3 linked regions of the Notamacropus eugenii genome follow. The protein of the gene in region 3 interacts with the protein of the main gene of each other region in a pairwise test. Links are inferred from orthologs where the notes say so. Each region holds a gene or a part of one and is shown on either strand. Other genes may lie near its edges.

Evidence for each region.
Region 1: the proteins of CTNNA3 (region 3) and JUP interact in binary tests that used the Homo sapiens proteins (3 or more experiments, as listed by UniProt). The link is inferred for Notamacropus eugenii from reciprocal best matches to the Homo sapiens genes CTNNA3 and JUP.
Region 2: the proteins of CTNNA3 (region 3) and PKP3 interact in a two-hybrid assay, tested with the Homo sapiens proteins (2 studies listed by IntAct). The link is inferred for Notamacropus eugenii from reciprocal best matches to the Homo sapiens genes CTNNA3 and PKP3.

Annotation. Positions count from the first base shown.
Region 1 is NC_092873.1:358,227,371-358,234,998, reverse strand, and holds the start of JUP (junction plakoglobin), read left to right. Parts: upstream 1-4,585; 5' UTR 4,586-4,748; intron 4,749-7,628. UniProt on the Homo sapiens protein: Common junctional plaque protein. The membrane-associated plaques are architectural elements in an important strategic position to influence the arrangement and function of both the cytoskeleton and the cells within the tissue.
Region 2 is NC_092873.1:27,985,338-27,992,531, reverse strand, and holds the start of PKP3 (plakophilin-3), read left to right. Parts: upstream 1-4,105; 5' UTR 4,106-4,576; coding exon 4,577-4,624; intron 4,625-5,047; exon of another isoform or gene 5,048-5,065; intron 5,066-5,192; coding exon 5,193-5,415; intron 5,416-7,194. UniProt on the Homo sapiens protein: A component of desmosome cell-cell junctions which are required for positive regulation of cellular adhesion. Required for the localization of DSG2, DSP and PKP2 to mature desmosome junctions.
Region 3 is NC_092872.1:261,306,816-261,314,896, forward strand, and holds the start of CTNNA3 (catenin alpha-3), read left to right. Parts: upstream 1-5,051; coding exon 5,052-5,148; intron 5,149-8,081. UniProt on the Homo sapiens protein: May be involved in formation of stretch-resistant cell-cell adhesion complexes.

The sequences.
Region 1 (7,628 bases), on a different chromosome or scaffold from region 3:
CCTGAGGACAAGACTGAGACCCAGGAGAGTAAAGGGGGGTGGTGGTGGTGGTTTAGATGTCTTGTTGCTTCACTGATCTCTCCAGCCTGGGGTAGAGTCATCTGTGCTGATTACAGAGAGCATAGGATGGAAGTGGTTATTGATTTACAATGGAGTCCCTGGAGGAAGCAGAAAAAGGCAGGAAAAGTCTCCATAGCCTCCCTTCCCCCCAACTCTGGCTTTTCTTCAAAGAGCAAATTTTTTCAGAGGTCTCAACTAAGTCACCTCACTGCAATGACAACAGCAGCCTGAATTGATTTTAGGCTTTATCGTTTGCAAAGTAATCTTCTCACAACAATACTATGAGCTGGTATTATTAGCGTTTATTGTGACCAAGTATAATTAGCTCTGTTTTACACATAAGGAAACTGAGGCTGTGCATTACCATAATCATGGGGCTCATCTGTAGCAGAGCCTGAACCCAGAATTTTGGCTTCAAGTCTAAAACTCTTTCCACTTTTCTGCACAGACGCTTAGATCTCATATCAGCACTGAAATAATTTTCCACACCTTAGCTTGAATCTTGTAGTCAGAATCATGAGCAGGCTATTCTGACATGGGGGAGTGTCAAGACCACTGGGAGAGAAAGAGGCCCGAGTTCTAATCCTTGTTCCATGTCTGATGAGCTTAAATAGATCCCATCTTGTCGGTAGACCATTTTTCCTGTACTTTATATTTCTTTGTATCCCCAGCACTTAGCATAGTACCTAGGAGGTGATTAATAAGTGTCTGCTGACTGACTGTAAAATGAAGAGAATTAGCTGATGCTGTGATTCTTCCTTGAGAGTCTCTGGAAGCCCCTGACTTTGGGGTTGGAGGATAGGGGTGGAATGCTGAATCTCCTCCCCACTTGGAACATCAATGTATATATGGAGGGATGTGGGGAGGCAAGCAAATGGATGTCAACTGGTAGTATGGGTGCATGTTAGGACAGGCCTCTTCCCTTGCCTTGCCCAGCTCTGGGTTCTGGTGGGAAGGTGGGGCAGGTGGGATGGGTGGGGCAACTGCTGTGTCAGCTAGAAGAGTCAGAGAAGAAGCAAGTTTAAGAAGCTTGTGTTGTCTCCTCCAGCTCCCCGCTACATTTCCCTTCCCCCTCCCACTATGAGAACCACCTAGGTGTGTCAAAGGATTTCCAGAAACTTCGGGGGGGGGGGGGGGGGGGGAGATCCTAGGATAACAAAGCTTTACATATTGAAGCAGCCTTGGGGGAGAGAAATTTGGTCCTGAACTCCTGAGTGAGTTTTCCCCAACAAGAGACTTCTGGGGATTTTGTGTTAAAAATATAACGAGAACAGCTCAGGCTACCTGGGATGTGTGTTGAGCACAAACATTCTCTGGGATTTCATAACCGTATTCATGAACCTTCCAGATCCATCCCCTCCCCTGAGCCTGTATCTTCCTTTTCTCCCTCCCTTCCCCCTTCCTTCTTTGTCTCTGTTTCTGTGTCTTTCTGCTTTCCCTCTGACATTCCATTTCCACCTACATTTTTCACAGTGAAGTGTTTCTGGAGCCACATCAGTAATTAAGTACCCTCCCCAGTATGGGTCAGACACACCTCACCTACAGTGTCAAGCCACTGGGCAGTGAGACCTAGAGCTTCTCTCACACCTCCCCCCATCCACCCCATCTCTTCAGGCTACTGAGCACAAATCTCTTCTGGCTCTAAACAAGAGGGCTTGGTTGCTTAGGAAATCATCTCTCCCCACTTCTGCATCATATATCCCCCTTCCTAGCCCATAATGGTATCTCTGCTGAGGTATAAACCCTTACAGAAGCTTCAGGTTTCTCTCACTTACCCCTTATTCTGGTATCTTTCACCATGACCATCTGGGAAGTCCTTAGTTATCTAACCCTGTTTCTTGTGATAGACATTTACTATGTGGTTAATCAGGAACTAGCCTGATTCAACAATCCAAGGTCAGGGGTCACCAGACTAATCTCCCCTGGATACTTTTTTATTCTGACCACTCTTTAAGCCTGACCTGAGTTAGAGGGAAATGAAGTGTGTGTGTGTGTGTGTGTGTGTGCGTGCGTGCGTGCGTGTATGTGAATATACATATGCCTGTCTGTGAGTATCTTTCCTTGAGTCTGTGTATGGTATAGAGCTTCATGTCTATCCATATGTTTCCCAGTGTGGGTCTTGACTATTGATTTCTGTGCAGATGGGAATGTGAGTATAACTGTGTATGGGTCTCTATGCCTATGAATGTACAAGGTATGTGTGTATTTAAGTGTGGGTGGGTGGAGTGGAGAGGGGGTTCAAATAGCAAGAGAAAGCTTCAGCACCTTATATGGCCAGAGGCCTCAAATGAAGAGGAGGGGAAGGGGGAAGATAAGAATGAGAAGGGGAGCCTATTCCTTTTCTGGTATAATGGCTGCTAGTCAGGAGATCTCCCTCTCTTACTTCCACAGAAGCTCACTGTCTCCAGACAGTACCTCTACCTGCTCCCCTTCCCCCATACTACTTCCAGTCACTCTTTGGGCACCTCCATTTTCCAGTTACTTTTGTCCCCTGGGGGGCTGACTCCTTTTTATGAGTTAGAGTGAGATGGGAAACCCTTTCCCCCACTAAAAGTTGTAGCCCTAGAAAGCTGAAGTGAGCAGGGGAAGTGAATCCATCCTTTGAAGGCTAATGTCTCAGCAGCCACAGAAGTCTGGACAAGAGGAAATGGATTTAAACCACAGCGAGTGAATTTAGGTTCAAAACAAAACAAAACAAAGCAAAAACTTTCCACATGTTACTAGCACAATTGCACTTTTTCCGAAAGGACTTTGAGAATTTTTTTTCCTCAGAAGGAAAATTCCCTGACTGCTTGGTTTAGAAGCACAGAAATGGATGGCTTGACTGTCTCATCTTTCCCAAGCTCAGTTTGTGTCAAGAGAGAAAGAGAAAAAAAATGTCACTCTTGAAAATCGTTTAACTTCACCATGTTGACAGAAAAATAATCATGATCTCCAAGCTTCTAACAACAACACAAAACAATAAAAGAAATGTGACTTGGGGGATGTAGGAGAGGGGCAAGGTTTCTATAGGAGGAATAGGGAAAAGAGGTCCCTCTTAGTCCAGCTTCTGGGTCTTCTCTTGGCAATCTTTGCTTCTATTTCCATCCATAGTAACACCCTATACTTTTTAGTAAGGAACTGACAAGCTGGGACATGATGTTGGGTGAGACACCCTTGATTTATTGTTGGGGAGAAAGGCACACAATACTGTGTTCTATTCACTCCATTCAGAGATGTTATGTTTTTCTCTCTTGTTCCTGATACCTTTCACCTTCCCCTGCTCCCCACTCTCTGACCAAGTCTGTCCAGTCCTCTCCTTCTTATTGGGTGGGTCATATGAAACAGAGGTAGCCCAAGTAGGAGTGTGGGTGAAAACCAGGACACAGAGTGGGTGTTGGCCTTCAGGAAGGGAAACCCAAGCAACAATGGGGAAAAAAGCCCTTGTCCCCAACCAGAAAAAGTTTATAATTTGGCTGAAGTGCAGAGAGACTGGGTGGGTGAAAGCAATGTAGAGATGAAAATACCCAGAGAGGGAGCCACACAGGCTGAGGGGGAGGGTCCAGGACAGCAGGGCAAAGAGCATTTGGAAGGCTGAAGTGCTTGGCACTGTTGCAAAATCTTTCCTGCCTTCACCCACCTATTATCTCCTCCAGGAAGGGGGTAGGATGTTTGGTTATCAGCTGTTGGGCTGGGTTGGAAGGGACCACTGTGCCTGACATAGGATGCTGAACCCATTGTGAGCCCTTCTAAAAACATCCATTCAATAAATGGCCAGAAAAGAAAAGGCCATGTTTTACTCTCCGGGATCTTAGGATCACCGTGGCGTTCTCTCTCTCTCTCTCTCTCTCTCTCTCTCTCTCTCTCTCTCTCTCTCTCTCTCTCGCCTGCTGCCTGGTTTTCTTTAGCTTCGTAGACTTGTTTCTTCAAAGTCTTCTTTCCACCTTCACCCCATAGGTGGCTTTTCTTGGACTGTTGAGTTTGCATTCAAATCCTCTTTTCACTCAGTCCGAGGTCTTTGCCACCTGATGCTTACTTTTTTGGCCGCGGTGAATAATCCCCTTAAGGGAATTATTTCTTGATGCTGAGTTGGTTAGGCGTCTACACAGACGCGCTGCTTTCCTTCCCTACAGCCTCTCCCCTGACTCACCTGGTAGGACAGGTATGGGGGGAAAGGTGGGAGTAGGTTCTACCTGGTGGAGAGCGTGGGTGGGGCAAGACACACCCCAACCACTCCATTGGTTTCTCCCCGAGGCTTACTGACAGCACCTCACCCATTCACGAGGCAGTATTCCTTCTCTATCCAATAGACGCGGAATTGGGATCGGACCTCGGGCTGGGGTCTGGCCCTAGAGCCGACTGGCAGGGCACGAGGCCAATGGAGAGGCGGTAAACATAGGCAGTCGGGGCGGGGCGGATTCGCAGCTGGGCCCCGCCCCCCAGGGAGACGGGCAGGCCTCGGGACCAGTGACAACGCGGCAGCGGGTGGGCGTCGCCCCGGGGGCGGGGCTCCGAAGGGGAGCCCGAGGCGTGGCTTGGCTGTCAGGTCTCTTCGCCTTTTGTTCGTTTAGGGAGTTGCAGCCGCGGCCAGAGTCCGTAGCAGCCACCGCCCGAGCGGAGCAGATCCTCCGATCCAAACCCAGCCCAGCCCTAGTCCTGCCCGCTGCCCCGAGCCCAAGCCCCAGCCCGGACCCTGGCTACGAGCTCAGGTGAGGGACGCGTGTGGCTGGGACTGGGGCTGGGGGCGACCGTGACTCCGCGCGCGCTCGGGTGCGTGGGGTGGGGGCACCTTGAGGGGCGGGTCCGTGCAGGTGACATTTAGAGGAGGAGAGGAAGGGGGCGCCAATGGGAGGGGGGTTGAGGGAGCTTTGCCCGACTGGGCGGTGGGAGCAAGCGCCTACTTAGAGGGAGTGGAGAGGACGGTCGCTTTTGGAGCATTTGAGGTCTGGGATTGGTGGGTGAGTGGGTAGGGGACAGAAAGGCAATCGGGGTCGCGAGATTTTGCTTGGGGCGGGGGTGTGTGGTGGGTCAGGCTGGCCACTCCGAAGGGGGAGTGGGTTAGTGGAGGACTGAACTGGGTGGGGCTGGAAATGTGGAGCAAGAGATTGAGAGGAGGGTGAGTTTGGAGAGGGTGGATCTCTGTGGTCCTTTTTAAGGAGGGGTGGTGGGCAGCGGGGGCTTGGGAAGGGCTTTGGCTTCGTCCTGGAAAAGTCTGCTGGAGGGAGTGGGAATTGAAGGAGGGGTACGGTGGAGGGGAGGGTCAGGTACGGATACAGCACTGACCTCCCTGGCAGTGGCCTTAGTGGACTGGGATTGAGGGGGAGACTTTGACCTCATTTCGCGTGGTGAGTACATAGAGCATTTTCTCTCCCTCTGTCCAGCTGGGAATTTATAGTTAAGGAAACTTGCAGCTGGGCTGCACTCCCCGTCACCCCCTCAGTCTGCCTCCCCACCAAGCGTCATTCCTGCCCTCCTCTTCCACCCCCACCTCCCCAGGCCTGGGTGGGGCCCTATTGTCTGGGTCCAGTTTTCCGAGCTGTGGGGTCAGTATTCTTGCATTGGAGGCGGGATCTCCCCATTCCTGGTTTGCTGAGCAGGTGAATTTGGTGTTAGGCATAAATTTGGCACTGGGCATTAAACGGATCCCGGGTCCCAGGGAGTTAACATCAAAGTCCTAGATTTTCTTCTCTCTAATATGTGTTCAGGTTGCCGGGAGAAGAGGGTAGCTTATCTTGTTTTAGGGTATCTGACTTATTGTTGAGACTTGGAGAGGGCTTCAGAGAGGAGATGGTTTAATGAAAGGTCAGAAAGCTGCGGGATGGGGAATGGGGACCAGGAGAGCAGGAAGTTACTGCTAGTGTGTTCTTGCTGTGCTGTCATCTGACATGTATAGCTTAGAGACTCTGAGGACCATTTAGAGAACACCTGGTTCAAATACCTCATTTCACAGACTCTTATAACTAGTTATGGAAGGTTTATATGGGCCTCTGTTTGCCTTAGTTTCCTTAAATGTATATTGGGAATAGCACTTGCCTCGAATGGTTGTGAGGAATAAATGAAATATTTGCCAAGTGCCTAGCACAATGGTTGGCACACAGTAGGTGCTATATACATGTTTATTCCAACCCTCACCTGTCTTGCCCTTTGTCCTTTTTTTCCTTCCCTCCTGACCTTCGTCCCATCTTTTGGAAAGTTCATCTAGCAAGAAACTTTCTTGCTGTTCAGTCCTGTCTGACTCTTTCATGATCCCATTTGGGGTTTTCTTGGCAAAGATACTGCAGTGATTTGTCATTTAATTGTCCAGCTCATTTTACAAATTAGGAATATGAGGCAAACAAGATTAAGTGACTTGCCCAGGGTCACACAGCTAGTAAATGTCAGAGACTGAATTTGGGCTCAGCCTTTTGAGTCCAGATCCAGGGCTTCATCCATTGTGCCACCTAGCTTGCCCAATAAACTTTCTAGGGGGAATCACAGAGTCATAGATCTAGAGCCAAAGGACCTTCTGGGCCATGAAGTTCAGCTCCCTCCTCCTCAAGACCATCTTAACTCTGGACAGACCTCAGAATAGAGAGCTCAGAGTTGATCCTTTCTGATCTTATCCTTTCTCCTCCCCACTTCCATTCTGTTTACTAATCCCGTGGAGATAGAGGGAGCCCACTTGCACTTTTTTTCCATATCTAGGGGCGCCCCTGGTACCCCTCACCTCTCTTTCTTCCCTATTTCAGGCAAAGCCTTTGTAACCTTCTCCTGCAGCCACTACCCTCAGCCCAGAGTAGGAGATTGAGCTAGGAAAAAAATCCATGTGGGAGATGCCAATTATCTTATATTCTTACCCTGCCTTTTACCCTTTCTCATTCCCTGGTTTAATTATCTACCTCTTAATTGAGGAGGAAGCTAGCAGCAAGCAATAGGACTTGATTTCCACTTGATTACCAAATTATGAAGTTTGCTGAGGCGTGACTACTGCAGATCAGGTTGGGATCCGGGTCTTTTGAGGTACTCCTTGAACAAATCATAGGGTCAGAGGATTTTTACAGCTGGAAGGGCTTTCATCTAGCGTGGGTAGGGTTGGGTAGTCTGGTCCACGCTGGAGAAATGGTTGAAAGTTTCATGACTCCTTGGGTCTTGACCAAGAAATATAGCTCACATTTATATATTGTTTTCAGGTTGACAAAGCACTCTTCTCAATATGACCCTGCCAAGCAGGTAATGAGTGCCAATACTATTATCCCCATTTTAGAGATGAGAAAATGGAGGCTGGGACACGTAAAAGTGGCTGGCCCAGGGTCACATAGCTAGAAGGCAGTTCTGGAGGAGGAGAAAGAGGGTTGGATTTGGGTGTGCCTGAGTCTGAATCCCAGCTCTGCTGCCTATTATATACTTGGTTCACTGTTTGGCAGATCGTTTCAATTCCCCTAGTCTCAGTTTCCTCACCTAGGAAAAAAAAAGAGGATTTTGGACTAGAAGATTTCTAAGATACCTTCTAACCCTAAATACTCATAATCCTTTGTCAGAGATGAGATTTGGACTGAGGTCTTCTGACTACATATATCAGCACTTGTCTACCATATTGCCTCTGAGATTTT
Region 2 (7,194 bases), on a different chromosome or scaffold from region 3:
AATAGGGGGCAGGATAGGATGGAGGGGATTATAATTAGTCTTTCACAATATGATTATTATGGAAATCTTTAACAAAACTACACATATATAGCCTATATTGAATTGCTTGGCTTCTCAGTGGGGAGGGTGGGGAGGGAGGAAGGGAGAGAAGTTGGAACTCAAAGTTTAAGGAATGAATGTTGAGAATTGTTTTTGCATGCAACTGGGAAATAAGAAATACAGGCAATGGGGTATAGAAATCTATCTTGTCCTACAAGAAAAAAGAGAAGATGGGCATAAGGGAAGGGAGGGGTGTGATAGAAGGGAGAGCAGATTGGGGGAAGGGGTAGTCAGAATGCATGGTGTTTCGGGGTGGGGGAGAGGAGAGATGGGGAGAAAATTTGGAATTCAAAATCTTGTGGAAATGAATGTTGAAAACTAAAAATAAATACATTTTTAAAAATAAAAAAATTTTTTAAAAGATTAAACTTCACTTTTCAGGATGTTATTCTTGCTTTCTAGTCCTATTTTTTTTCTTCTTTTTTGGAATATTATATTCCAGCATCTCCTTGCATTTATGGTAAAAGCTGCCAGGTCTTGTATCATCTTGACTGTAGGACACAAGCAACTTTTTTCTGGATTTCTTGTCGTCTTTTTTCTTTGACACAAGGACTTTTTGGATTTGGGCTACAATAGTCCTGGGACTTTTTCTTTAGTTGGATTCTTTCTATCTATAATATACCCACTTTTTAAAAAATAGATGAGAACTAATAGAACAAAAAGGCAGTTTCCATTTATAAATTTATTTGTTTGTTTATGAATTACCTCTCCTTGACCTGTTTTCCAGGTTACTTGTGTTTTTTATAACAGATATCTTACATTTTATTCTATTTTTAAAATCTTTTGATATAATCCTGGAGTCATTAATTTCTTTTTGGTCTAGTCTAGTTTTCATTCCACTCTATTTCTTGGGTCATATTTTTACTTTCTGTTCTAAGTCATTTTTTCTTCCATTTCTTTATTTAAACATTCTAATTTCATTTTGTATTTCATTTTATTTTTATCTCGGTATTCATATTGGTATTGGAAAAAAAATCCATTTTTTCTCTTTAAGTCTCTGCTTGTAGTTGTTATAAAGTCACTCCTTTGGAGGGAAGGTCTCCAGATCTAAAATACTTTTTAAAAAATCTTGGTCAGTTTTTTCTTTGCTTCTTATCTCTCTGGCTTTAGTTCCAGAGCCAGACTCCATCCCCTGCTGGGCCTTTGGGAGGGGTGCTCAGCCCTAGATGGTCCCCTGGTTTTTGGGCTTATCTTCTACCTCTTAGATCTTCAGGGCCCTCCCCATCTCAGCACAGCATTAGGAATCTCAGAGCCCCTGGGTTTGAGGTATCCCATCTGAGTGCTATGATACCACACTGATTGCTGCCTCCTCCTGATTCCCTGGGCTTCCAAAGTCCCCACTCATTGGCTTTCTTTGGAGAGTCTTTTGTTCTTGATGCCCTCAAACACAAAACCTTACAGGCTTCATGTGTTCCTGGACCATCTCTCATTGCACTGGGAAGATACCCACAGGCTGGTGGCTCAGTGGATAGAGTATCAGGCCTAGCCGATTCTAACCCTAACCCTAAATACACTCTGATTCTAACCCTAAATCAGAAAGACCTGCATGCTAGTTGTGTGACCATGGGCAAGTCACTTAACTTCTGTCTGCCTCAGTTTCCTCAACTATAAAATGGAGAGACTACCACAGCTCCCAGGGTGGTTGTAAGGACCAAATGAGATATTTATCAAGCACTTAGCACATTGCCTGGCCCATAGTAGGCACTTTACAGGTGCAGACTCCCTTCCCTGCCCAACATTGCCAGTGGCAGCCCCTTCAGGTGGACTGCGGCCATGTTGGACTGGAAGAAGTCACCCACTGCAGTTTTCAGTGGATTTCTTGGTCCCTCTTTGGTGTGATCTGGTGACAGCTGCAAGGTTTGGCAGATGTAAGTGCTGAGCAGTCCACCCAGACAGCCATCTTACCCAAAGCCAACTGTCTAGTGTCTGCCTCCACAAGAGATTGACAGATTCTTTGCTGAAATCCTGGCAGAGTGGATCCCCAGCATCTCTGTGCTGCACTACCAGTCTGGTAAGCTTGTCCCAAAGGAAATGTGGTTCCTCCAGCAGGACCTGTTCTTACTGAAGCCTGCTGCCATAGCCTGCCTTGCTATCAGCCACTGCTGCCCTTTCCAAATGTCAAAAGCAGCTCTTTCCCGACATCCTAGATCAACACTGGAGAGTGAGTCTTTTCTGCCCTTTGGAAGATCAGGAGGTTAGCCTTCCGGCAATTCTGCTCAGGGTGTCCATAATCCAACCCTATTGCTGCCTCTCCACTGCTGCAGCCCCTGCCCCTTCCCAACCTGCACCTACATCTCCCTTTCTGTACCTCATCTGCCCATGGGGCTCTGAGCTCCAGCTGCCCAGGCTGGAGGCTGAGAATGTATGAGGTGTCCTGAATCAGATTCCAGGGAAGGTCTCCCACTATCCTCCCTCCCCTCACTCAGCCCCAGGCCCCAGGTTTCCTGGATTCTCTGGGTGGGAGGAGACCCAACCCAGTGCCTGCAGGAACCACCCAATGGAGGTTGGCAAGATGCAGATGGTGCCAGGAGGGCCTGCTGGTGCCAGGCTGTGGTTCTCCCAGAGAGCTACAGCTCCGTACAAACTTGTCTCCAAGACTTTTTTCCACCAGAAATACAAAGTCTCTGATGGAAGCAACTGGGTGGATCAGCGAGAAAGGGGAAGGCAAAGGGCGTTGCCCAGGCTGCAGGATCCACCTGGTCCCACCCCGATCCCCCCACAATCCAAGCAACAAGAGAGACCTGGATCCCAGGCTGGGGCTAGTCCAGGAGAGGAGCTGAAGGACTTTGATTCTCCCTACCCCAAGGATGGACAAAGAGATGAGCAGATTTTGCAAGATGGACAAGGTAGGTTTCTGCTTCCTCCAACTCACTGCTGACCTTCCCCCCGCTTACTTACCCCCATCTTTTCCCCCATTCCCCTCTGGCTTAAGGTGGGGGTGTATCAGGGCTGGGAGTGGGGCAGGTCATCTCTCTGGAGGATCAGTGTGTGCCCAGGGTCACTGGCAGAGAGCCTGATAATAGGACCACAGGTTGGTTAGGAGAGTGACTGACAGGGATGGGGGGTTCTCCATAGTGGATGGCGCTGAAGATTTTAATGTCTGGCTAGACTGCCAAGTGATCCAAGGCCACCCCAGGGGCACTTAAGCTGGGACTGGGAGATTCTCTGGGAGGGAAGATTGAAAGGGCCATCCAAGCAGTGGGACCAGAAGTCAGGGAGACTGCTGGAGGGCCATTTCCCCTCGTCTCAGTCTCATGTTCCTCATACTTGCAAGGGGGCAGTTCTTTACTTGACTTCCTCCAGCTCTCCTCATGCCAACCCTGGGAGGTAGGTCCAGCAGGTAGTGTTGACCCCTTTTGACAGAGAAGGAAACTGAGACTGAAAGATGAAGCTATTGAGTATCTGAGCCCAGCAGCTGTGGGCTTCTTGGACTGACTGAGCCTCAGAGCATAGATTGACCTGTAATTCCAGGTTCTCAGGGAGTGGTCAGGGAGGCATGACCCCCCAAATGGGAAGGGGCAGCCCTAATGTATTTCTGGTGCCTGAAATGCTAGGTCCCAGAGGCCTGGGCTCCACCCGCCCCACCCCTACTAGTGTGGACTTGTGTTCTGCTGGTCGTCCTGAGTCACCAGCCTGCTCCTCCCATCCTATGCCCACGTCACACTCAGGAGCAGCAGCGCTGGCACCAGCCCAGTTTGGAGGTGGGGCATGGGTTTGAGTGGAGAGGCCTCTTGGATCAGAATTCCAGAGCCCCCCAAGCTTGCCCAGGCCTGTCTCCCTCTCATCTCTTTCTCTCCCTCCCTTCCTCTCTCTCTCTCTCTCTCTCTCTCTCTCTCTCTCTCTCTCTCTCTCTTTCTCTGTCCCTCTTTCTCTCTCTCTCTCTCTCTCTCTCTCTCTCTCTCTCTCTCTCTCTCTCTCTCTCTCTCTCTCTCTCTCTCTCTCTCTCACACACACACACACACACACATCACTAAGCCAGGAGTGGCTGAACTGGAGGACTAAACTTGGGCCCCAGGAGGGAGCATGCCCCTCATCTCCCCTGGACCTTGGGTGTCTAGATGCCCCAAACAGCAGTCATCTTCCATCGAGGCTCAGCTCCCAAAGAGAACCTTGGAGGAGGGTGTCTGAATAACTAAAAAGCTCCCCAAATTGTTAGACTAGACGGAGAGTAAGAGAGAAAATGGGAATGTGATTGATGAAAATAAGGGATGAAATGAACCCCACAACTCCCACCATAAGAGGCTAACCTTAGCCCTCTAGATAACTCCAACCTAACCTTAGTCCAGAGTGAACTCATCCTTTCTTCCATCCAAGAATGACCCAGAAGAGTCTTTGGACACTCAGCCCCACCTCCTGGCCTGGCCTCCCATTAAGCCCACCATTTCTTGAGGTGTCCAAAAAGGGGGAAAGAGGTGACTGACCTCCATAGATTTGGCCCCAGGCCCATCTCCTGCCTAGCAGCGGCACAGCTGGAGAGATGCCAGGCTACTCTGGGCCAACAGATGAGCCCTCGGGAAAGCGTTGGGTAAATAGAGAGTTAGTAGTAGGCCAGCCTCAGTCAGCACCCTTCCCACCACCCCCAAGAGCAACATCTATAATAACTGGTTACCTCCCATCCTGCCCTGTCCGGTCCCAGTAGCGTCCCAGCCCAGCCCCTGCTCTGGGACCTCCCCTGGCCTCCAATCTCCACAGCCTTTCAGGATGGAGGGTAGAGGGAGGAGGAGGCTCAGGGGTAGGGTCACTAGGGCCTGAGGGCTGGGTAGGGCCTATTCCTTCCCCAGGAATTCCACCTTAAGGAGTCTGGTGGCTCCTCCCTCCCCGGCCTACCCCCAGGTATCCCCGCCCTCAGGTGAGCTCAGGCCTGGGCGGGGTCGGCCGTCTCTCTCTGGGCGCGGCTGGCTGGCTGGCAGGAACAGCTCGGAACTGAGCTGACTGACCGACCCACTGGCCCAGGACCGGGCTGAGGGTGATGCAGGGCAGGGAGGTCCGGCCAGAGCTCAAGCTCTGCTGAGCTCCAGACCCAGTCCCAGTCTGAAGCCCCAGCTGGTCCTGCCACCATGCAAGACAGTAATTTCCTGCTTTCTGCCCTGCAGCCCGAGGCAGGAGTCTGCTCCCTAGCCTTGCCCTCAGACCTGCAGCTGGACCAGAAGAACAAGGAGGCCTTGGAGGCAGAGAGGGAGCGGCTGAAGGTGGCCCGGGTGCAGGAACAGGTCCGAGCCAGGATGCTCCAGCTCGGTCAGCCTTCGAGGATCAACGGCTCCCTGGCCGGTCCCCTGATGGATTCTGCAACCAGTACAGGCCTAGACAGCCCCAGAGGTACCGACTGACCAGGATGAGGAGGGGGGGTCTCTTGGGCCAGGTCTGAGGGGCTGCAGGGAGGCAGAGGGGGAGCCACAGGCTGCCAGTCACAGGAGAGGCAGGGTAACTGCTGTTCTAGGGCGTGGGAGGGTGGAAGGGCAGGAGGCCCAAGGCCGTGCCCAGACTCCAGGCCCATTCTCTGACTCACTAGGAAGCCTTGGACTGACTCAGTCTGGGGATCCCTGGCCCCACCCAGAGGGGGATGAAAAGGAGCTCCTGGGGGTCCTCAAGACACACAGGAGGCTCCAGCCCAGGGGTCTGGTTGAAGGGAAGGGGGACAGTGTCAGGGCTAGTTCTGGGGAAGGAAAGGAGTCCAGATGTTGGCTCTCTCAAAACCGTGGGTTCCTCTGGTGGAGTTTCCCCAGAGGAATCCCCAGTCAGATTCTAGTCGGGGAACAGTTTTGGAGAGGGTGACACTTGTGGGAGAGGCTAACATCCTCTCCAGCTCTCTGAGTTAAGCTGGGGTTCCCTCACTTTCTGATCTCACCTGCTTCCTTCACTGTTCCACTGGGGCACAAAGAAATTCATAGTCCCACCCAGAGACAAATCAAGAAGCCCCAGCCCCTCAGGACCCCTCCCAGGGGTTGGGAAAGTCACCCCATCAGGGACCTTAAACCCTTTGGCTCTCCATGGAACCTTATTTGGGAAAAGGAGGGATCCAGGTGGCATGCCTCTACTAGAAAAACCTGCATACAGGTTGGAGCCTGCTGGAGGGCAGCTGGCCCACTGAAAAGCCAGAGGGATGGACAATAGGACCTATCAGGACCCTGGAGAACCAGAACATGAGGCAGAGTGGGCCTCAAGCCCTCAGAGGCTTCCACAGAGTGGAAGTTCACCTACTGGAGGGTGGGGGTGGGGTGGGCAGGAAGGAGGCAGCCAAATATGGGCACTAATTACAGCTTGTAAAAAGCATCAGAGATGGCTACTCATGGCCAGCCCTGACAATTAGGAGGATGATTATAATTTGGGGGAGTGGGGTTTGCAGGGAGCCCAAAGATGGGGGTGTGTACCCCACTGGCGGAGCCTCCCTGGCGTCAAGGGGTTAATCTCCCCACCCATGAAGCCTCATTAAACTGGGCTGGCAAGGGGACCTGGGGGATGGAAAGGCCTATGTGGGTGAGGAAGGGGTGTGTTTGCCCCTGGGGGTGGTTGATCTGTCTCTGACCAGGCAATGTACAGGGGGGCTGGGCCAAAGGCATCTGAAGAGCTGGCTGGAGGGGATCCCTCAATGAGGAAGCTTCCCCAGTGACCTTGGCCCCCTTGGGGACTCTGACAATTCCTCCTCTTTGCCAGTTAGGATAGGAACCAGCCAGCCCAGCTCCTGTCCCAGTCCCCTTAAATGCTGCCCTTGGCTCTCCTGGGGCCTTAGCCCCCCAGATGAAAGAGCTGAGGAAGCAGTCCTTTGTGGCATCTGCACTTTCCTCCTGCCTACCAGCCCCTCACCAGGCATGCCAAGGGCCCCCCCTTCCTACTCCAGCCTCTCTGCACCAGTGTGTGTCATGATGTAGGCCAGAGCACCTACCCCTGCCTTTCCCTGCCTGGTCCCACTGTCTTACCCACTCACCTGCCCTCTGGCCTCTTGTGGTCACCTCACTTGCTCCTTACCCCCCCCCCTCCTTCGTGGCACACATTAAGCCCTGGTGCAATGTTTATTCTTCCCCCCACCCTCATCGGGCACCTCAGGACAAAAACAGAAGAGTCCCTGCCCCCTGGAGCATGGAGAGGAGAGCAGGAAGG
Region 3 (8,081 bases):
CTTGGCTATGGAGTCAAGCAGAGTAAGTCTAATTTCCTTCTTCTAGAGGCTAGACATCCCTAGTTTTTCTAAGACTAGAACCCAAGTCAGTCAGTCTTTTCATCAGTGAATATTTATTAAGAGCTTCCTATGTGCCAGACACTGTGCTAAGCACTAGGGATACAAATGCAAAAACATGGTAGCTGTCGTCTAGAAGCTTCCATTTTAGTAGTCATCTGATATCAAATTCCCCATTCTTTCACTACATGATGAGTAAATGAATCATCAAAGAGCTCTATCTGCTCAAAGAACTTTGGTGCTATTTCTGTCTTTTAAACCTTTAAAATTTGTTCTGCATGCCTGGTTATTTAAGCTTTCCTCATTGACTTGTTTTTCCTTGTGTAGTTAGTTCGGTTGAACTCTTGAATGATTTTGGATATCATTTGAGAAGCTCTTTGGTGTGGGAGGCCTTGATGTGTAGTTTGATGGACAGCCCATGGAGTTGGTTCAGTCATATGTGTATGCAGATCGACCATGAAACAGGCCCAGAATTGAATAGGAAGAAGAGAATGGTCTGAATTTAGGAAAATGATGGAGTTTTCAACAATGTTTAAGCTGAAGGGCTTTGAAACAATATTTCTTCTTAGTAGCCTTAGTTAGTCAATAAATCAGTCTACAAATATTAAGTACCTACTATGTGCAGGCACAAAGACACAATGAAGGACACAGGCTCTATTCCCAAGAAGCTTACACCCTTGTTCTTCTGGAGATGTTCATTGTGAATTGTGGAATACTACAGACTTTCTAGAATAAAAATTATAGATCACACTAAGTTCAATAAGAAGATATGTGGTGGACAGAACAGATTTATGCAAATTGCATATAAGAATGATGTCATCCAAGAGATATATGTCTGGAGGAGGTAGATGGTTTTATAGCAAGAGTAAAAAAATAATAGATAGGGATGTTACGTGGGGCAGTGTCAAGAGATCATGAACAGGGATCCTATGTAGCTTCTGGGATGAATCCTGTGTGTTACAGGATGGGAATCACATAGGATGAACAGTCAAGAATGGATTTTATCTGAACTGTTGGATGGAGTAACTGTATTAATGTACCTGTATTAATGGAATATCTGTATTAATGAGATTATAGATCTACTGAAGTATTGAAGCATGCACAATTTCCACTAGCTCCACCATAATGCCTAATGAGTTAAGCAATTTGATGTGCAAAGTCTAACAGGGTATTGATGTTGGGCTTTCAGCGTGACCATAAAATAATAACTGGTTCATGATGAGATAACTATTTCAACTATTTAACAGACTCAGCATTGAACACACAACCTTCATGAGGGAAATGTCAATGTTGCAAGAGCTATTTTCTAATGTAGTCAAACATGGTGGAGAAGGGCTGTGTTTTACCTTATGGTTTCATTCTGTTCTCTTCATTCTGGATGGAAAATGCATGGAGGAAAAGGATGATTAGAAATGAGTTCAAAATTCTGTCAAGAAAAATATTCAAAGCAAATATCACTGATAAAGGTCTGATGTCAATGATATATAGAGAATTGATACAAATATAGAAAAACAAGAACCACTCTCTTACAGACACGTAGTAAAAAGATATCATCTTTTCAAAAGAAGAAAAGTAAACTATCAACAACTCTAAGAAAGAATGTTCTAGAATGCAAATAAGAAAAAAAAAGAATTGAAGCCACATAGATCTAACCTCATATCCATCAGACTGACAAAGATGAATCGAATTTTTGTTGGAAGGCTTGAGGGAAGATCATCATGCTAATGTTCCCTTGGTGAAACAATTCTTTAGCCAATGAATTTTTAGAGTAGGACACTGAGTCTAAGTGAGGTTAAATGATTTTTTAAGGTCATTCACTTGAATTCTTTGATTCTAAGACAGAAGAGACCATATATTACAGAACATACAGTGCAAGAATGGCAAGTACTTTATATCATAGAATATAATATCTTAGAATACTGTTCAAGTGTGTACAGAGCTGAACTTGGAGTCAGGAAGACCTGAATTCAACTAGCTTTGTGACCCTGGGAAAGTCCCTTAACCACTCTTAGATTCAGTTTCTTCAGTTTTAAAATGAGGATAATAATAGCACCTATTGATTGTTATGAATATTAAATGAGATAGCATATGTAAAGTGCTGTACATACCTTAAGGTACTATGTAAATTTTATTTTTATTATTTATGATTATGATATATACTTTCCACTCAGAGATGGAATAAATTTAATAACAGAGCCTAGATTGTTAGACCAGAAGGGCGACTTAGAGATCTCTTAGTCCTTCACATGGAAATTTCTGTAAGTACTTAATGAGTTCTAGAGAGACTGTGACTTGCCCAAGATCATATAGCCATTTAGTGATGTAACTGAGATTAGCCCCTTGGGGCACCTGATTTTTACCTCAGGGTACTTTTCCATATACAATGCTGCCTTTTAAAATTTTTTCATGAGAGAAGATTTTTACTCTTGAAATCCTGAATGGGATAAATCTCCATAAATCACTCTTTCGAAAAGGCAAATTGTAATGGTCACATTGTGTCCTGCTTCTTGGTGCTGGTATGAATATATTTCACTTACTACAGCATTATAGAGTTCTTCAAATATACTCTCCAATGATTAAATGATGGGAAATGTGGACTAGGGTTACTGAATGTAATTGAGAAAAATGACAAAGTGTGAGTGGCAGAAAAGACGAGGAAAAAAACCAACCATCTGCTAAATACAAGAAACATATATAAAAATAAAGACACATACAGAATGAAAATGAGAGGCTGGAATAAAATTTGCTATACATCAGATGATTCCCCCAAAGCATAAATTGTATAATCATACTATCATTTTAAAGAGGTAAGAAAATTCACAATGTCAAGAGAGATAAATACGGAAATCACATTATACTTAAAGGAATCACAGGTCATAAAACAGCATTAGTATTAAATATACATACACTCATTGGTATAGCATCTAAATTAAAGAAATATTATGTGAATTATGGGTGTGTATATATGTATATACATATATATTAGAATAATTGTAGGGGATTTTAAAGATACTCTCTTAGAGCTAGCTAAATCAACTGAATGTGAAAGAAAAAGGAAAATATAAAAAACCTGAACAAGTTTTTGGAGAAATTAGATTTGAAATATTATAGTACTTGCTGAATGGAAGCATTAAAGCATACACATAATTCTTAGCACTGTGTGACACCTCTTGACAAAGACAGACCACATGCTAGGGCATAGACAAATTATAAATAAATATCGAAAAAGAATATAAACACCTTGAGGGTAGAGACTGTTTCAGTCTTTGTATCTCCAGAACCAAGTACAGTGTCTGGCAGAGTGCCTAGCATACAATAGATGTTTAATAAATGCTTGTTTACTGGTGAAAAAGAATTAGAGGAGTTAAAGTTAGCTATGACTTAGCAACTCAGCGTTTTAGAATAACTCAGAAAACACCAAATATGTGAGTGAGTTAAATCAATGTGTCTACCTCCCCAGGAAATCCTAGTAAAAAAGAGTTCCCATAACCATGATTTACCAACTTTTTACTCTTCCCATTTTGTGTCACTATGACAAGGTTGGAGACTAATCACACAGTAAGGGGAAAAATGTAAGGGTTACCCCAAAAGCTAAGGAAAAGCTTTTCAAATCCAGTGTTTACTATTACTGAGTTTCTGAGTTGTTAATTACTGGAGATGGAGGATGAGCAAGACAGTGAACTAAAGAGAAGGACAATTGTCTCTCTTGGATTGTCACCAGGAAATTGTGTGATTCTTTTAAGATTTTTCCTGACGCAAAAGTCCATCTTTTTTTTTTTTAACATCAATATTCTTTTGATGAAATGGATAATTTCATAAGAAACTGGGCAGAACTTCACAGTTTCACTGATTCAGAAGAAAATAAGCTGATTTAGGAGAACATTTTGTTCAATGGAAGCAACTTTAAAGAGAGAAACAACTGCAAAAGACCCTGGAACTCAATTCTAAAAGAATGAAGATGAATTATGCCACTCACCTCTCTGTCTTCAGAGGTGGCTATTGTGTGAATTTATTTTGCTGGAATATGTAAATATTAAGAGATTTAAAAATATTTGCTAAATGGAGGAAGGTGATAGTGGAAAGGGCAGATGAACAAAAATATCATTTGAAAAATAAAATAATAAACTAAAAAAAGTAACACCCAGCATTAGCGTTCTTTCACCATCATCACAACTGGCCATGACTTTGAGTCTTGAATACCACAGTTTCAAAGAACTGAAGTAGTGCATAATCCAATGGAGGGCATGAGTAGGTTCTAACACATTGGAAGTATATTAGAAGCAGGATAAAAAATGTCATCAGAGAGAAATAGGACCTGTAATGTAGGTAAACAGGTCATGAACTAAGAGCAAGGGATAATATTGGGACAGCCTGCATGTTTCTTTGGTATCCATGCAATGTCAAGAGACCTGGAGGAGGACTTCTCCAACTTTGGAGGATTTCTGGGACGACATGCCCAAGAGTCAGGAATGATGACCAGGAATGAATGGGTTGTGACTGGCACCACCAGAGGCAGTAAGCATCTTGATCAGATCATAGACCCACTGAATACTGAAGCATTGATTTCAGAGGTTTTCAGTAACCAATGGCAGATCAGTAAATCCTTTCCCTCTCCTGGGCACCCTGACTGACTTCTACTAAAAGTCATTTGCAGTATAATTTACACTCTGATAGAATCTGGAGCCCTACAGTTAGCAGACCACTTTTACCTTTCATTCCTCTTGCATATCAGGTGGTACCTCCCTGTCTAATTGACTGTCCCAGAACTTTCAGCTTTCTGGCTTGCTGTGAAATGAAAACCCCCATCCAAAGTTCACCTCAGGCCTTGGATCACCATAAACACAGGGAGAGCCCTCTCCAGCACAACTTGCTGGCTTTGCATGTTTTCCATCGGCATATTGCTTTAAGAGGGCCCAACCCCCAAAGCAGCAGCCACTGTGTCCTGTCAGTCATCCTGAAATACACTAGGGTGCTTGTCGCCTGTTTGCCTACACATGCATCACAAGCCAAATTCTGAGCCCAGCGGTGGGGCCGAAGTTCCAAACATAAGCGATTGCTTAGGCAGCAGGCTTAGGAGCTGTCTGTGGCCAAGTAAGTGTTTGTGTCCTGGGGTCTGACCGGTTGGTGAGTGATGGCTGGGCTTGTCTCCACTTCTTTTGAAGTCTTAACTTTGAAAACACATTTTTTTTCCTCCTGTCAAGTAAACTCTCACCATTGTAGATTGTCTCTGAGCCGCACCTTTTGATGAAAGGTTCTGAGGAGAAAGAAAGGGAAATGGCATCTGTCAGGTAGCATGTAGTCATCTGCTGTGGTGTCTGGGCTTTTAGAGTGATCCCCTCTTCTGGGCAGTTCTGGGGGTAGTTCGGAGACACAAAATGCCAGCCTGGAGATTATGAGCCCCTCCATGCCATTTCTGCTGTGGTGGGCACATTTAGAGGGCTAGCATCAGTGCAGTTCAAATGTGGAGAATCTTTAGGAGAGATTTCTTTGAAGTGCTGAAAGAAAAACTTGTCCTATGCATATAGTGATAATAATCATAATAGTACAGAGAGATTACATTAAAATAATGCTTCAAAGTTTTCAAAACACTTTGTGTGCTTTATCTCATTCATCCAAACTATAGAGAAGCTGAACAGTAACATATTTGAAACATTTCCACTGTGACTCTGAAATATTATATTTTGAGTAGGTATAATTCTGGGAAGTAGTGTATTAGACCTGGATAATATAAGTAAGACACTTGGCAAAACTGAAAGTTCTGTATGTGTGTCAACTATTATTATACCCCTTAGTAATGTACTCCATGTTTCAAGATTCTATTGCAGACTTCTGGATTTGAAGTTATATGTGGATTTTTTTAAAAAGTTTTTTTCACCTAAATTTTTTTCCTCTTTATATTTTTAAATCAGGCAATATTGATTGTCAAGAATGAAAAAGGAGAAGTGAAAGAAGTTAGTGAATTCAATGCTTACATTTCCAATGTAGGTTGAATATAGTTCCCAGGCAACCAAGACTTGTCCATTTCCTCTTGTTCTGGTTACCTTTAAGTGGAATTCATAAAGGGGCTACATTTTTTGTCATGTAAATATCACTAGATACCTGCAACACCTAGACACACTGTGGAATAGAGGATAGAAGTTGGACTTGGGGACTTGGGTTTGAACCTTCTTTTGGGCTGGTTAACTTTGAAACCCTGGGCAAGTCACCTAATGTTTCAGTGCTTTAGACAGCTCACTGGGGCTTCTGTTCGTCCTAATTCATAGAGAAGATGCAGTCTGGATTGGTGGAGGGACTTTCCCAAGCAGCTGGAGTCACAGATCCTTCTTGAAAATGCGTGAAATTCTCTTTGACGCATTCAAATCATTTGGATGTCATTCTCAGTAAGTATGGTTAATCGTTGCATTAGTTATAAAGAGGAGGAGACTTTAGGGGCCTTAGAGATCAATCTAGTCCAATCCCCTTATTTTGCAAAGGAAGAGGAATCTTGAGAAGTTACAGAATTTGCACAAGGTCACACAGGTAAATATCATGACTCAGTTTCAAACTCATGGCTTCTGACTTTCAATCCAGTGCTCCTTCCATGACAAGGAACCACTACCAAGTTAAGGTTATAAGACAGGACTCAGTTACTTTCCACCTTGTGTTAGGGTCTATTCTTGGCCACCCAAGTAATGGTAAAGGTTATATAGAGGACAAAGTTCAAGGTTGGTACTTTGCAATTTTGTAAAAATGAACCATAAATTCTAGAATGATCATTTAATGATCATTTAGTCCAACCCTCTCATTTTGCGCAAAAGGAAACTCAGCTCTAGAGAGGGGAAGGTCCAGTTATCCTTTCCACATCTCAATTTTCCTTTCCCCATTTTGGTTTCGATATATCTTGGGTCAGCATAAAAAAACAGGAATCTTTTGGCAGTTTTTCAGAAGCTTCAGACAACACTCAAAGGCCAACAGATGACGTAGAAAAAATTTAGTAAGTTAAAAATGCATAAAATATCTGCATAGTATTGTATAATATCAACTCAAATTTTAAAATGAGATACTGTAAACACCCTAAAAAAGAAAAAGAGAAATTCAGACTTTTTCTCTGGTGCAAAAAAGGGAGGACCAAAAGTTTTTACACAGATTTTCCAGATCACAAGGGCACCATTCCTTTAACCCCAGAGATGTGAAAAGGATATTTGTTCAAGGTCCCTTGGAAACTTAGTAAATAGTTGGCAAACCCAATTCTTCTGTCTCCAAATTCGAGGCTCTGTTTTGCTATACCATGCTGAACTCATGCTGTATGAGAACTGGTTGAAAGAGCTGGCGTGTTTAAGCCTGGAAGAAAAAAAAGACTGGGTGTGACATGAAAATTATGTTGAAGGGCTGTCCCCTAGAAGATAAGATTTATTTTCATTGTTCCCTGAGGAAAGAATTAGGATTAGCGGATGGGAGTAGCAAAGAAGCATATTTAGGCTGGAGGACAGGGGACAGTTCCTAACAATGATAGCTGTGCTATCTGTGGAATGGGTTTCCTGAGGAGCTAGTGAGCTTCCCATCACTGGATGTCTCCAAGAGAAGGCTGGATGACTATACATTAGGGGGCCTGAAGAGGGGATTCTTCTGCTGGCACATGTTGGAATAGTTGACTTTTGGTCTCTCTTTTATCTCAGCTTCTGTGATTCTGAGACTGGATTCTTCAACAACTGAAAAATATTTAATGTTTAATTGATTACAGAAACAGCATGGAAAAAGCTCTCTTCAAAGTCGAGGTGAACGATCTTATCTAGTTCTCTAGTAGCTGATAAGTGAAAGGGGGAGGCTCTGGGGACAATCTTCTTCATGACTGACCATGAGTGAAGGAGAGAGTGAAGTTAAGATGAGAAAGAATAGGAAACTGACATTTCCACACAGTTTCCCTAGGAAAGCAATTTATTTGGTCACTTTGAAGGAAAAGAGGGAATCTTTTTCTTTGCTCAGATAAGCAGGACTTTTATTAGTTTCTAATGTATTTGTCAACTGGCCAGAGACAAAGCTGGGAA